Solanum lycopersicum: one gene and its partners. The protein of the gene in region 2 interacts with the protein of the main gene of each other region in a pairwise test. Links are inferred from orthologs where the notes say so. Each region holds a gene or a part of one and is shown on either strand. Other genes may lie near its edges.

What was found.
Region 1: the proteins of histone deacetylase complex subunit SAP18 (region 2) and AP2-like ethylene-responsive transcription factor At2g41710 interact in binary tests that used the Arabidopsis thaliana proteins (3 or more experiments, as listed by UniProt). The link is inferred for Solanum lycopersicum from reciprocal best matches to the Arabidopsis thaliana genes SAP18 and AT2G41710.
Region 3: the proteins of histone deacetylase complex subunit SAP18 (region 2) and HDA1 interact in a two-hybrid assay, tested with the Arabidopsis thaliana proteins (2 studies listed by BioGRID). The link is inferred for Solanum lycopersicum from reciprocal best matches to the Arabidopsis thaliana genes SAP18 and HD1.

Annotation. Positions count from the first base shown.
Region 1 is NC_090801.1:41,550,688-41,554,300, reverse strand, and holds the end of AP2-like ethylene-responsive transcription factor At2g41710, read right to left. Parts: intron 3,594-3,613; coding exon 3,511-3,593; intron 3,346-3,510; coding exon 3,337-3,345; intron 3,249-3,336; coding exon 3,160-3,248; intron 2,928-3,159; coding exon 2,854-2,927; intron 2,782-2,853; coding exon 2,731-2,781; intron 2,536-2,730; coding exon 2,474-2,535; intron 2,315-2,473; coding exon 1,692-2,314; intron 804-1,691; coding exon 750-803; 3' UTR 555-749; downstream 1-554.
Region 2 is NC_090804.1:62,359,161-62,363,494, forward strand, and holds the start of histone deacetylase complex subunit SAP18, read left to right. Parts: upstream 1-1,473; 5' UTR 1,474-1,562; coding exon 1,563-1,676; intron 1,677-3,064; coding exon 3,065-3,097; intron 3,098-3,804; coding exon 3,805-3,915; intron 3,916-4,334. UniProt on the Arabidopsis thaliana protein: Links the histone deacetylase complex to transcriptional repressors bound to chromatin. Involved in the tethering of the SIN3 complex to core histone proteins.
Region 3 is NC_090808.1:68,206,290-68,210,389, forward strand, and holds the start of HDA1 (histone deacetylase 19), read right to left. Parts: upstream 2,821-4,100; 5' UTR 2,695-2,820; intron 1,432-2,694; 5' UTR 1,402-1,431; coding exon 874-1,401; intron 90-873; coding exon 1-89. UniProt on the Arabidopsis thaliana protein: Responsible for the deacetylation of lysine residues on the N-terminal part of the core histones (H2A, H2B, H3 and H4).

The DNA of each region.
Region 1 (3,613 bases), on a different chromosome or scaffold from region 2:
GAATTTAAAAGGTCGTACGAGGGGATTAGGATTGATTTTAGTGAAGAATTAAGAGGGATCTGGTGTGTGCGCACCTTTAGCGACCAAATTGACTTGTAGCGATGGGAAGAGACTTTTACCGAGAAGCTGCCCTTCCAAATCTCAAATAAGCAATGAAACGTTCAGAGGAAACCTATGTTGCTTGGACTCTTCTAAAGTATTAACAGGTGTGTATCGGATACTTCAAAAGTAGTGCATTTTAAAACATCCGACACGGGTGCGGCAACATTTTTGGAGAGTCCAAGCAACATAGGAGGAAACTATAGATCAACAGAGGGGGCATCTTGTGTTTCCTGGAGGTTAGGGATGGGTTTCTCAACCAGAAGGAGAGAAATAAATAAGTCAAGCTAGAACCAAGAAGGGCAAGACAAAATTCTACTCAAGTGAACCGCAATAATAAATACCACAATCATGCTTCTATACATTCTTCATAAACTACATGTGGAGAACTCTATAGCATGGAATGATAAGACTCTTAAAAACTCAGATGGACAAATGGAATTGCTAGAGCAACATTGCAGCAACTTGAAAAAGATAAATAAACTAGAGACTTATTTTACAAGTACTGGAACAACATTTAGGTCTATAAAGTTCATAATGGACCAAAAGAAAAAACCCTGTCAAAAGATAAAAGTGTGTATGCCTATGCTTCACAAGACTGCAAACTTACATGTACAGGAAAGTTTGTATCTCACTTGTAGAGGCGAAGGTTAATCTTCTTGTTGAAATAAAGTATAATCTGAACTGGCTTCGCTCTTGTGGACCTGCATGAAAGATCCAGGTTTATGAGATACACATATCCTTCCCATCTAACAAACTTCAGAAAATCACCACTCTGCACAATTTTTCTGTAGGGAATACTTGTTATGTAACCATTCTCAAGTGCTTCTCACCCTTCACTCCATCTTGTAAACATACTAGGATCAATAATTCATTTGAAGTCCTAAACAACAATTATTGGTTATATACAGGACACAGACCTTTTACTGCTTATGCAATCCCACACACTACCAAAAGGCAGTCATTACGACTACATCACAAGTATTATGCTACTCAACATTATATACTACTGAAATTTGCATTTTGTGTAGTCTTTTAAAATTGGAAATGGCATAGTCATGTGGAAGGGTATATGTTATATTGAGGTACCACTAATGGTGGGTGCAAAAGTATGTATTGTTAGATACTAAGTAGGATCTCTTGTTAAAGACCAAGGTCCAGACAAGTCATAACAGAGGCAAGCAGTCAAGGTACAACTAACTGAACATTATCCATTCTTCAAAGAGAAAAGTCATACTAATACTCTTCGTACATCTTAACAACAATCATGATTTTCCCACTTAAATTGCTGGTGGACGTGGATAGTAGAGCTCAGGCTTAGCTAAGTGCAAGTTCCATTAGATGATATAGCTAGGAAACAGTCTGCTGAAGAAAAAATCACTTAAAAATAATTAAATGGACAAAATTGTAAATTAGCAACTTCTTTAATTTGATCTAGTATTCATGTGAAACTAAGCATCAGATGCGAGGAATCATTGAGTCTAGGTGATTATCATTCCACTCCATCAACTTTTTATCCTACTTCCATGTTTCTACACAGATGGGAGTATGCGAAACAAGATAATCTAAGCATTGATAAGAGATAAACTCACCTCAGCAGTCCGTGAAGAACCTGTATGAAAATTAGGAACAATAGATGTCCAAAGAACAGGGTCTGTTAAGGGATCTATGCTGTTGTAGTTAGTGAGAAGTGGTCCTGACAGGAGTGGAGTAAGTGGGTGCAAGTTTCTGTTAATAGATAATCCCCCAGCATTGAGAAATGCAGCTCCAAGCCTCTCACTTCCACTATCAGGACTTGATTTTTCTATCATCTTCCCACGGTCGACTCTGTTGATAGTGCTTTTGTTTTCATTCTCATCATTCTCAACTTTTTCTTTCTTTTTAGCAACCTTCTCTACTAAACTCTTGTATGCTGCAGACTGTGACAAAATGCTCACAGCAGATAATGTTGAGCTTTTATGATTCTTATTTTCTTGGTACACACCCAAACGGGGCATCTCATATGGTTCAGTCTGCTGAATTGATAATTCTGAAGCCCTAAGCTCATTATCAATATCTTCAGGACAACCAACCTTTGTTTCCTCCGATATTTTCAGATGCGAATCTGTTTGACGAGCTTTATTACCTCCCCACCACTTGATGTAACTTGACAAGTCAATCTTTCTATCCATGCAGAAACCACCGATGTACTCATTGTCCACTGTGGCGTTATCACCTTTGAGAAATTTAAAGATTTATAAGATGTGAGTTCAGCCCTGATTTGCTAACTAAATCCTAGGTCTAAAAGGAACTATTTTATTTTTTGAGAATGAAGGTCTAAAATGAACAATTATTAATAGAAAATTTATTTTTGCATGACAATAACTGTACTCACCATAGTGCAGGCTGTTAAAGTAATCAGCTCCAGGCACACGTCCGAATTGCAGATCCCATCGACTACATTGGATGCAGAGAAGAGAAGACGGAAGATATCGTGAATAATGACATCTAAGAAACCCTAATGAATATCAAGATACCAGGAAAAATAGGTAAATGTGAATGTGTCGGGAAATCCCACAGCATTCATCCTTCATCACATAATTTTCAATTCAACAAGTCATATGAATGCAGACTTGATCTGTGCTAGCATACCTGGATAGCGGACGATATTTAGAGATCCCTCTGGAGAAACCACCACTCTTTCTGCAAAGATGAGTTTATGAGGAATCAGCAGATACTCTACCAAACGCATGCATATGCAAACAGCACACCCACCTTCTTAATGATGCAAGATAATCTTCTCTTGAGACATTTTGCATCTCTTCAAGGTCCCTTGTGTAATCTGTCACCTACATAAACAGTCAGAACATTTAGTACATGAAAGTATAGCCATTGCAAAGCACCTGATACAGTTGGGTGCAAAGCTTTAACAGACCCAATATTATGCAAGTAAGGAATTAAGAAAACAAAGCAAGAGAAGAATTGTAGTAAATCCTTGAGAAAGATAGGAAGGAATTAGGAAGGGCTAGATGCCTGTATCGCTTGGTAAACTGACAAAAAAACTAATATTAAACATCTTACTGGGAAATTAATGAGGGTTCCAGGACCCCAATATTTCAAAGCGGCAAGATCATATGCTCTTGCTGCAGCCTCCTCATCATCATATGCTCCTACAACAAATTTTGTTCTCGAAATGTTTAACAGTTTAATCTCCTTTCATGTGCAGTACTTCAGAAAAGGATTACTCAAAATGCTCACCTAAATAAACTGTCCATCCCGATCAAGCAGCAATAAGTGTCCCAATGTCCATGCAATAATAACACTTTCTAAACATCAGTTTTTCACCCAAAAAAAAAAAATGGAGCATCGAGCTGAATTCTGATCAGCATGAAATAGAACCAAAAATATCTGCTAGAGAACAAAGAGAAACACCTTGCTTTCCTTTCTTATTTTGGTTTTGATTCCAGGTACTTTTATCCCAAAGATGAGCTTCATAACGACCAGTCCATCTATGCCTAGTCTCATGAAATTAAAA
Region 2 (4,334 bases):
CTAATGCTAACTCTGAAGGCAAACTCAACTCATAAGCCACATTGTCAAAATGCCTCAAAATCTGATAAAAACCTACATATCGGGGATTGAACTTCCCTTTCTTACCAAACTTCATCACGCCCTTTATGGGTGAAATTTTCAAATAAATCCAATCATCTACAATATATTCAAGCTCTCTCTCCTCTCACATCGACATAAAATTTCTATCTGTTCTAGACCGTTCTCAACTTATTTCTAGTAGGTCGATCATTCTCCATAACCTCAGGAATCGACTTGGGCGTTATCAAATTCACTTCGCTAACCCTAAACCAATCAAAAGGAGACCTACACTTCCTATGATAAAATGCCTCAAATGAAGAGGCTAAAACTTCCAACAGAAACAACGTTTTATTTTTAAGTACACAATGAAAAAATTACTAGAAAAAAACACCTATATAAGTTTTATAGGTCATGTGGTGCTAATTTTCTTTAATGAATAAAAGAGAGACTCGTTTCATAGGTAGAAGAATAGAAGAAGGGACTCTTCTTTGACCCCAAAAATACAAAAATGGCCATTTTATTCTATACCAAATTTTTAATTGGGCAACTTTCACATATAACAAATTTAAATTTATATTTGTATGCTATAGCAAAGTTTGCATAATTGCGCTCCATAGCAAACATAAAAACTGTATAGTTCGCTATACATATACAATTGAAGCAAATTGTATAAAACAAAGTGTATAAAACAAGAAAGAGAAAGACACTTGGGCAAAGAACTGTATAAAAACGAAGTGTATAAAACGAATTGTATTATTATAAGTGTATAGAACGATTTTATACAATTCAAATTTGTATAAAATGAGAAAGAGAGAAAGACAAAAGAGACTTGACAAGGAATATACAATTGAATTGAATTGTATAAAACGAGAAAGAGAGAAATTAGATAGAATTTGAAAATTGTATAAAACGAGAAAGAGAGATAGACAAAAGAAACTAGCAGGGGAGCATTTTTATATAATTATAAGTGTTTAGGACGAAAATATATGTACTTGCATATCTATATACAATTTTCTCACGCTTTATACAAACAGAAACGCAATTTATACATTTCGCTTCTGTTTGTATAAGTGAGAAATGCGAGGGTGGCGAGCGAGATTTGGGAGAGTGGCGAGCGAGATATGGAAGAAGGAAGATAGTGGGAACAAAAATATATGTATTTATACAATTTTCTCTGCTTTATCAATTAGAAACAATTTTTATACACTTGTGTTTGTATAAAAAATGAGGAAGCGAGCGAGAGATTGGAGAAGAGTGGCGAGCGAGATATTTGGAAGAGAGGCGCCTGGCAATATTTTGCAAACGTTTGCTATGGAGCACAATTATATCAAACCCTGGCTACTCCATTTATTTTAGGTTATTAGTTTGTTATTATATACAATTTCCCCTATTTCAATTTTATTAAAGCCCAACAGGGTTCTAATAATATAAGGCCCAAGATGAAGATCCAAAGCTAGAAAACTTTGCTTAAACCTCTGTTGTATTAAAGCGTGACAGACCGTCGGAGACCGGAGTGAACAACAATGGCGGATGTTCAGAGAAGAGGAAGACCATTACCTCCTCCTCCACCCAGAGGTCCACATGGTCCACCTCCTCAAAGGATTGCTCCACGCCCCGTACCAGTTGATCGCGAAAAGGTCCTACTTTTTCCTTTCTTTCTTGCCTGAATCCTCTGTTTCTGACTTAGGTTACACTGGTTTGGTTACGGATTAGGTTGTTTTTGGAGTGAAGTAGCTTGTGCTTCTGCTTTTTGATTTTTTGAAGCAATTGTTATGTTGCAGACTCTCGCTAGGGTTTTGTTTAGAAAAGATCTTATAGTGTATTGCTGTTCAACAACAACTCTGAGACGGAAAATTATATGCATGTGTATATACATAGTTAGAATTATGTGTTATTTTTATGACCATGGTGTCCGAGTGAGCTATTGTGCACTTCGACTAATTCCACATACCTGTTACCTCACACCAGCAACATGTTCCACCAAGGCTAAAACAGATGAGAGGAATCACCTAGTGTTTTTTAATCTCTGCCCAGATTTGCTTACAAGAGACTTCATAACTATCAACCACTTCATTGGCCACACTTTTAAGTATTAAAATTATGCGTATGGCTAATTCGCGAGTTCAAGTTTATGAACCTCTAGTGAAAATCTCACCTCTGCAACTGTTGGGCTGACCATATCATTTTGCTCTATTTGGACTCCTTTTTTTTCAATACTAATTTGACGAGTCTTACTCTGGTTGGTGTATTATTATTCAAGGAATGAAATTTGATTTGGTAAATGGAAGTTTAACACAAGATCCCAAAAACAAATGTAAGGTTGAGAATTTAGAAGTTAAAGGAGAATACACCACTATGTAAATTGAAGAAAAATAAAATGCAATGGTGATATACTACTTCTTCCACGTCTATTCTGATTTTATATAGGACTATATCAAGGATATGTACGTGCATTAGCTTTTAGCAAATGTACCCCCAAAAAAGACCTTTAGCCTGCCAGAAAAGAAGCTGTGAATTGTGAAGAGACAATGCCCGTCATTTGGTACAGTACCGATCACCGAATGGGCTGTTATGGTTAATTCATGTCATACACCTTGATAAATAGAATTTTGTCTGGTTTGCTTTTACATTTACTTTCAAAAGAATGGACGCTTGCTTGCCCTTCCTCCTTCTCAGCTTGGGCAGACTAACAAGGTAAAAAGGCATGCAGGCACTTGTGTTGTTTGTTGTACTAGCTGCTTACCATGTTGAAGAAAATGGATTTCAACTGATACTAGAAATATATGATCTGAGACCTGGCATCACTTTGTATTATGTTGAGACCATACATGCTGAGTAATCTAATGATTGTTTTATTTTTGTGTGTTTTCTCTTTATCAGCAAGTTGGCATGTATCTTTTGCATTTTTTGTTCGTACTTGCTATGCTAATGTGTGTTCATAGCACATAATGTATTCTTTGCATACTGGAAATTACTTACAAAACCTTTTTTTTTTGTTTCTTTTGGGGATACCATCGAAAACCAGACTTGTCCTCTGTTGCTTCGTGTTTTCACTAAGGTATGTTCTCCAATCGAGCTTTATTTTTTGTTTTTCTGTTTTGATAGAAGGTGAATTTTTATAATGGAATAACCACGAGCAAGACAAAGACCTTTCGAATAACCCTAAGGGGTCGTTTAGTAGCTGGTTAGACTTATGCATGTATTAGCAGTGTAGGGATTAGTTATGACTTATGAGTGAATCAATGTATTATTTTATGCATGTCTTAGTTATGCAAGGATAAGTTAATAAGTTATGCATGGATTAGTTATTCCACCTTCTATCTTGCATAAAATAATACATAGATTCCCTCATAACTTAAACATGTATTTGTTATGCAGGTTTCTAAATTGTTAACCAAGCGTTGTATTAGTTTTTACATGAATTAACATCTTCCCATCTACATACCAAACGTCATATAAGTTATATGAAAATTAGTACATGGATAACTTTTTACTTATCCGGCTACCAAAGGACCCCGTAAGTTTTACCAGCTTTCGAAGTTCTGAAAGTAAATGAAACTATCTGTAAGATTTTGCTTTTCATATCGTCGCCTTCGAAATGTATATGATTTGCGTATGCTTCACTAGTTGATTTTCCCCGAAAAGTGGCCATGCACGCATATTTTTTGTTTCACCACGTTTAAGACTAGTATGAACCAAAAACCTGAATTGCTTTATGGTTAATTAATGATATACTCGGTGGGTGCTTCACTTTGGAACTTACAGGTTGGAGGCCATCACAATGTTAATGAATTTGCTGTGAGGGGCAAGGAACCCAAAGATGAGGTCCAAATCTATACATGGATGGATGCTACTCTGCGCGAACTAACTGATCTGGTATGAAGAAGTAACACACAGTATATCTTTTAACTGGTCTCTTCAATTTAGTTGTTATCTGTCTCCTCTTTGTATATTCTCATGCTCACTATCTGCCAGCATGCACATAGCAATTCAAGATGTTGGGATATTGTTGCAATTTTCTTAAAAATGTGCCTTCTATCCTTCGCTTGTATGACTAATTGTCTAGGAGATGAGCTGTTTTTATCTTTTGAGTGCTGAGTTTTCTCCATAGTACATAACTTGTATTTGAGTTGTTCAGTTCATATATTATATATAGTACCTCATTGAAACTAGGTGCAGCATAGTGCATTATGAGTTTCTGGCCTCTGTGAGCTGGTATATTGATAATGTTTGGCATGAAAGTAAGGGGTCGTTTGGTGTGAGGGATAAGAATATATAGTCCTGGGATAAATGTT
Region 3 (4,100 bases), on a different chromosome or scaffold from region 2:
AAGGAAACTGTCATGACCCTATCTGTAGTATAGAAGGCCTCTTCCACGCCATCACCATGATGGATATCAATATCCACATACAATACTCTCTGCAACAGTGATATAAACAAGGTAAATTAGCAATGAAGAACTTATACAGCTTAGGAATGTAAATGTGATTATTATGTGTTGGATGTAAGCGTACGATTGACATTTAGTTAATGATTGTAAAGCTAACACCAACTTAACCAGTTTCAAAACAAAATTAAAAAAGAATTGTAAAGTTAACATTGTGTTGTTTTGTTGATAATTCTAAAGCTAATAAGAACATGTCATAGTGGGTTAAAATGAAATGGAAGGAAGAGTAGTGAGGGATGAGAGGTTAACGCCATTTCTTGTTTTGATTACAGAAAACGACTCGAGTAGAATTTTATATATACAAGATACTCCCAAAAAAAAATCCAATTTCAACTTAGCTTTTGTTTTGATTACAGATTTCATTGTAGCTGTCCCATATTTCAACGTTGATTTTTGGTCAAAGTATCCAAAACCGGTTGACTTAAGCCGGTACGGCTCCCACACCCACACCCATGTCGTGTCAACACAGATGCGATACCGAAAGTAAAGAGTCCGAGCAACTTACTCTCTAACCTAATCCAATGAGGCTAGTTATTTTATTTAATGTGTTTTCCTGAAGAGTACATGATAACATAGCCTGTCCATGGGATGGCTGATTATCACAATATCACAACATAGCTTGGTGACACGATGTCAATGTGTGAATAGTAAAGGAATAGTGAGAAAATGTGAAAAATGTGTCCTGACCAATTTTGTCAATCAGTCAATCAACCTCCATTTGGAAAAAAGTGAGTAAGAACAGCAATAATGAAATACCTCATGGACTTTGAGTAGCTCCAGAATAGCCAACACGATATCGTTCACATAGCAGAAACCAGATGCTTCACATTTCTTGGCATGATGCAATCCACCAGCCCAATTTACAGCGATATCACAGTGTCCATGGTTCAACTTAACTGCCCCACCAACAGAACCTCCAGCGTAGGTTTGGCAGAAGGAATAAAGACCATCAAAAACTGGACAGTCCTCCCCGACATTGAACCTCTTCAGCTGCCTCAGCTGATCTTGCTGTGTTTCTGGTGTTACGCTTCTCAAGAAAGCAATATAATCATCAGCATGAAACCTACAGAGATCCTTATCTCTAGCAGGATTTGGCTTCAGAACATGCATGTGTTGTAATAGACCATAGTGGGCAAGAAGAGCATGTGTCATCCGCATTCTATGTGGCTTCATTGGATGGCCTTGTCCATAATAGTAATTACCAACTTCAGGATCATAGAAATAACTTACTTTTCTCTTCTTTCCATCTGCACCAGATGCTAAGGAGTTTCCTCCAACATCCATTTCCCAAGCTATAAACCAGTAAGGATAAACCTTTAACAGATGGAAAGCAAAGGCATAAGGACAATTCAGCAATACAAAGTAAATCTAAACACATATTCACAACCAACAAAGGATGTTGACGTAAATACATATATTTAGATCTTTTCTCTTAGAATAAAGAATATAAATCATTAAAAAAAAAAACAAAGAGTAAGGCATGATTAAATATGGACACCCAAACAGAAACAGAAGACACCACCATACACTAATACTAAGAAGGGTGTAGAGTCATTATGACTTGCCAAATTGGGTTTAGTTTGGAAGAATTAGCCCCAAAATACAATAACAATAAGAAAACTACTTCGCCTCAATCCCAAACTAGTCAGAGAATTAGTCCAAAAAATAAGCTTCAAAATGGAGAAAATTTTGAGTACAGTCTAAGAGTCAACGTAAGACAGCAAAAACAACAATTGGTAAAACTATGATAATATCTAGTCAGTTTCAGCAAGAAGATGATTTATTCATGTAACCACACAGAACATGTTATCTTTTCTTCATCACCAAAAATTGCTTCATCCTGCCTAAAGACACTAAAGCTTGAATTTAATCACTATAACACAAAGTACATCAACCACACTGAAACAAAACAAAGTATTTTTCTTTTATACTAATAATAAAAACAATACTTCTTCATAGACAGAAAAAAACACACAACTGAACATATAAAATACAGAAATAAGCCTCTCAACAGTACATGTGAGCAAATGAATCCAGAATCCAAAACCTTAGTATAATTTAGCAGCTCCTAATACAATATGCAAACATGAAACCCCCACCCCCACCCCCACCTCAAAATCCACCAAAATAAAAAGCATAAAGACTCAATTTTGTTGCATTTAAGAGTACTTAAAGTTCAAAACTTTTGATAGAACCACACAATCAGCAAGATTCAACAAACCCCATCAAACAAATCAATAGTACTTTAACTACATCAAATTTTTCAACCAAAATTTTAACAAAAACACCCATATTCCCACTTATTTTTACTTAAATCTCCTCAACTAACAACCCAAATAAGCAAATTGCAAGAACCAACCAACCAATCATGGCCAAGACCCATTTTTTTTGCTCAAACACCCATATAGCCAAAAGGGTACTCAGTTAAACCATATACCCAACAATCTGTACAAGAAAAACAGTAAAGACAACAACTTTCCCATTCTTTTTCCCCCTCATATGTTAATACAACAATTTAGAGTCCAATAAATGAAGGGGTTGTTTGGGGGTAGGGGGGGATTGACAAGAAGAGCTAACCTGAAAGTGAAAACCAGAAGAAGCGGCCACTACAGTAGAGATCGCTAAAGGTTGAGTAGAGAAGAAAAAACCAGATGTAAAATATATTTATGTCTTCAAACTAATGGAAAATATATACACATTTATTTATTTATTTTTCAAATATCAATTAATTAATATTGTCCCAATTTTAACACTTTATTTATTTATTCATTTATCTTTCGAATATCAATTAATTAATATTGTCCTAATTCTAATACATATTGGATTTAGTTATATGAATTTTGGCAAATTATTCATGTCTTTTCTTTGTGTCAAGTTATTCTAATATTTACTTTTTTCATGATACTTTTAGAACTTGTTATAATTATAAATTAATTTCTACAAATGTATAATAATCCTTTCTTCCTCTTTCTTATTAAAAAATAAAGGAATTTTCACATAAAGCACTTAAAAATAACCTAATTACTTTCATAGCTATAGGGAGGAGAGAGAGGAGCAAGATTGAGAGAGAGGAGAGAGGCAAGCGAGGGAGGACAAAGATTGGTAGAAGGCGAATTGTATATATATATATACATACATATATATATATACATATCTATATATATACATATATACATATCTCTCTCTCTCTATATATATATATATATCGGTTAGATATTTGTATATTATATATATGTAATTGTATATATGGAAAAACGAGATTGGGAGAGAGAGAAGAGAGGTGAGTGAGTTTGGGAGAGGGAAGAGAGAGGCGAGCGAAATTGAGAGAGGCGAGAGAGAGCGCAAAGAGTGGGAGAGAGGTGAATTGTATATTATATTGGTTAGATAAGTGTATATCATACATATGTATTTGTATATTCTGCCGAATTATACATATACAAACGTGACTAATCATACAAACTCGAAGTCAACCCACATAATTAATGTATAATGTTAGTTGCTTGTAATAATTATAGCAAACTATAATTATAATGAGTAATTAAGTAGTATAAATTTACTTAACCCCGTAATTTTCAAAAAAAAAATCAAAATATAATGATCAAATATATATGTTTAATCTTAACATATAAAACAATTTAAACTTTGTTTATACATAATGACAATTTAGGTGAGTATATAACACAATAACTCAAGTTCCATCAAGTTCGTCAGCTTAAAAATTAGTTATAAGTATATTTTACATTACATATTAATATTAATTAATCAGAGCTAATAAATTTTGTTTTTGTTTCCTCAAACGTGTTAAATAATTTTTATGTTTGGTTAAAATCATAAATGTGATGATAAATATAACACTCTATAAATTATGTGGAAAAAAAAAACAGAAAAAATAGAAATCACTTGAAAATTTATATATAAATAAAAAATTAAATTAATTAATAGTCTTATAAACAACAAATTTGATTGGTCCCTCTATCATTTAT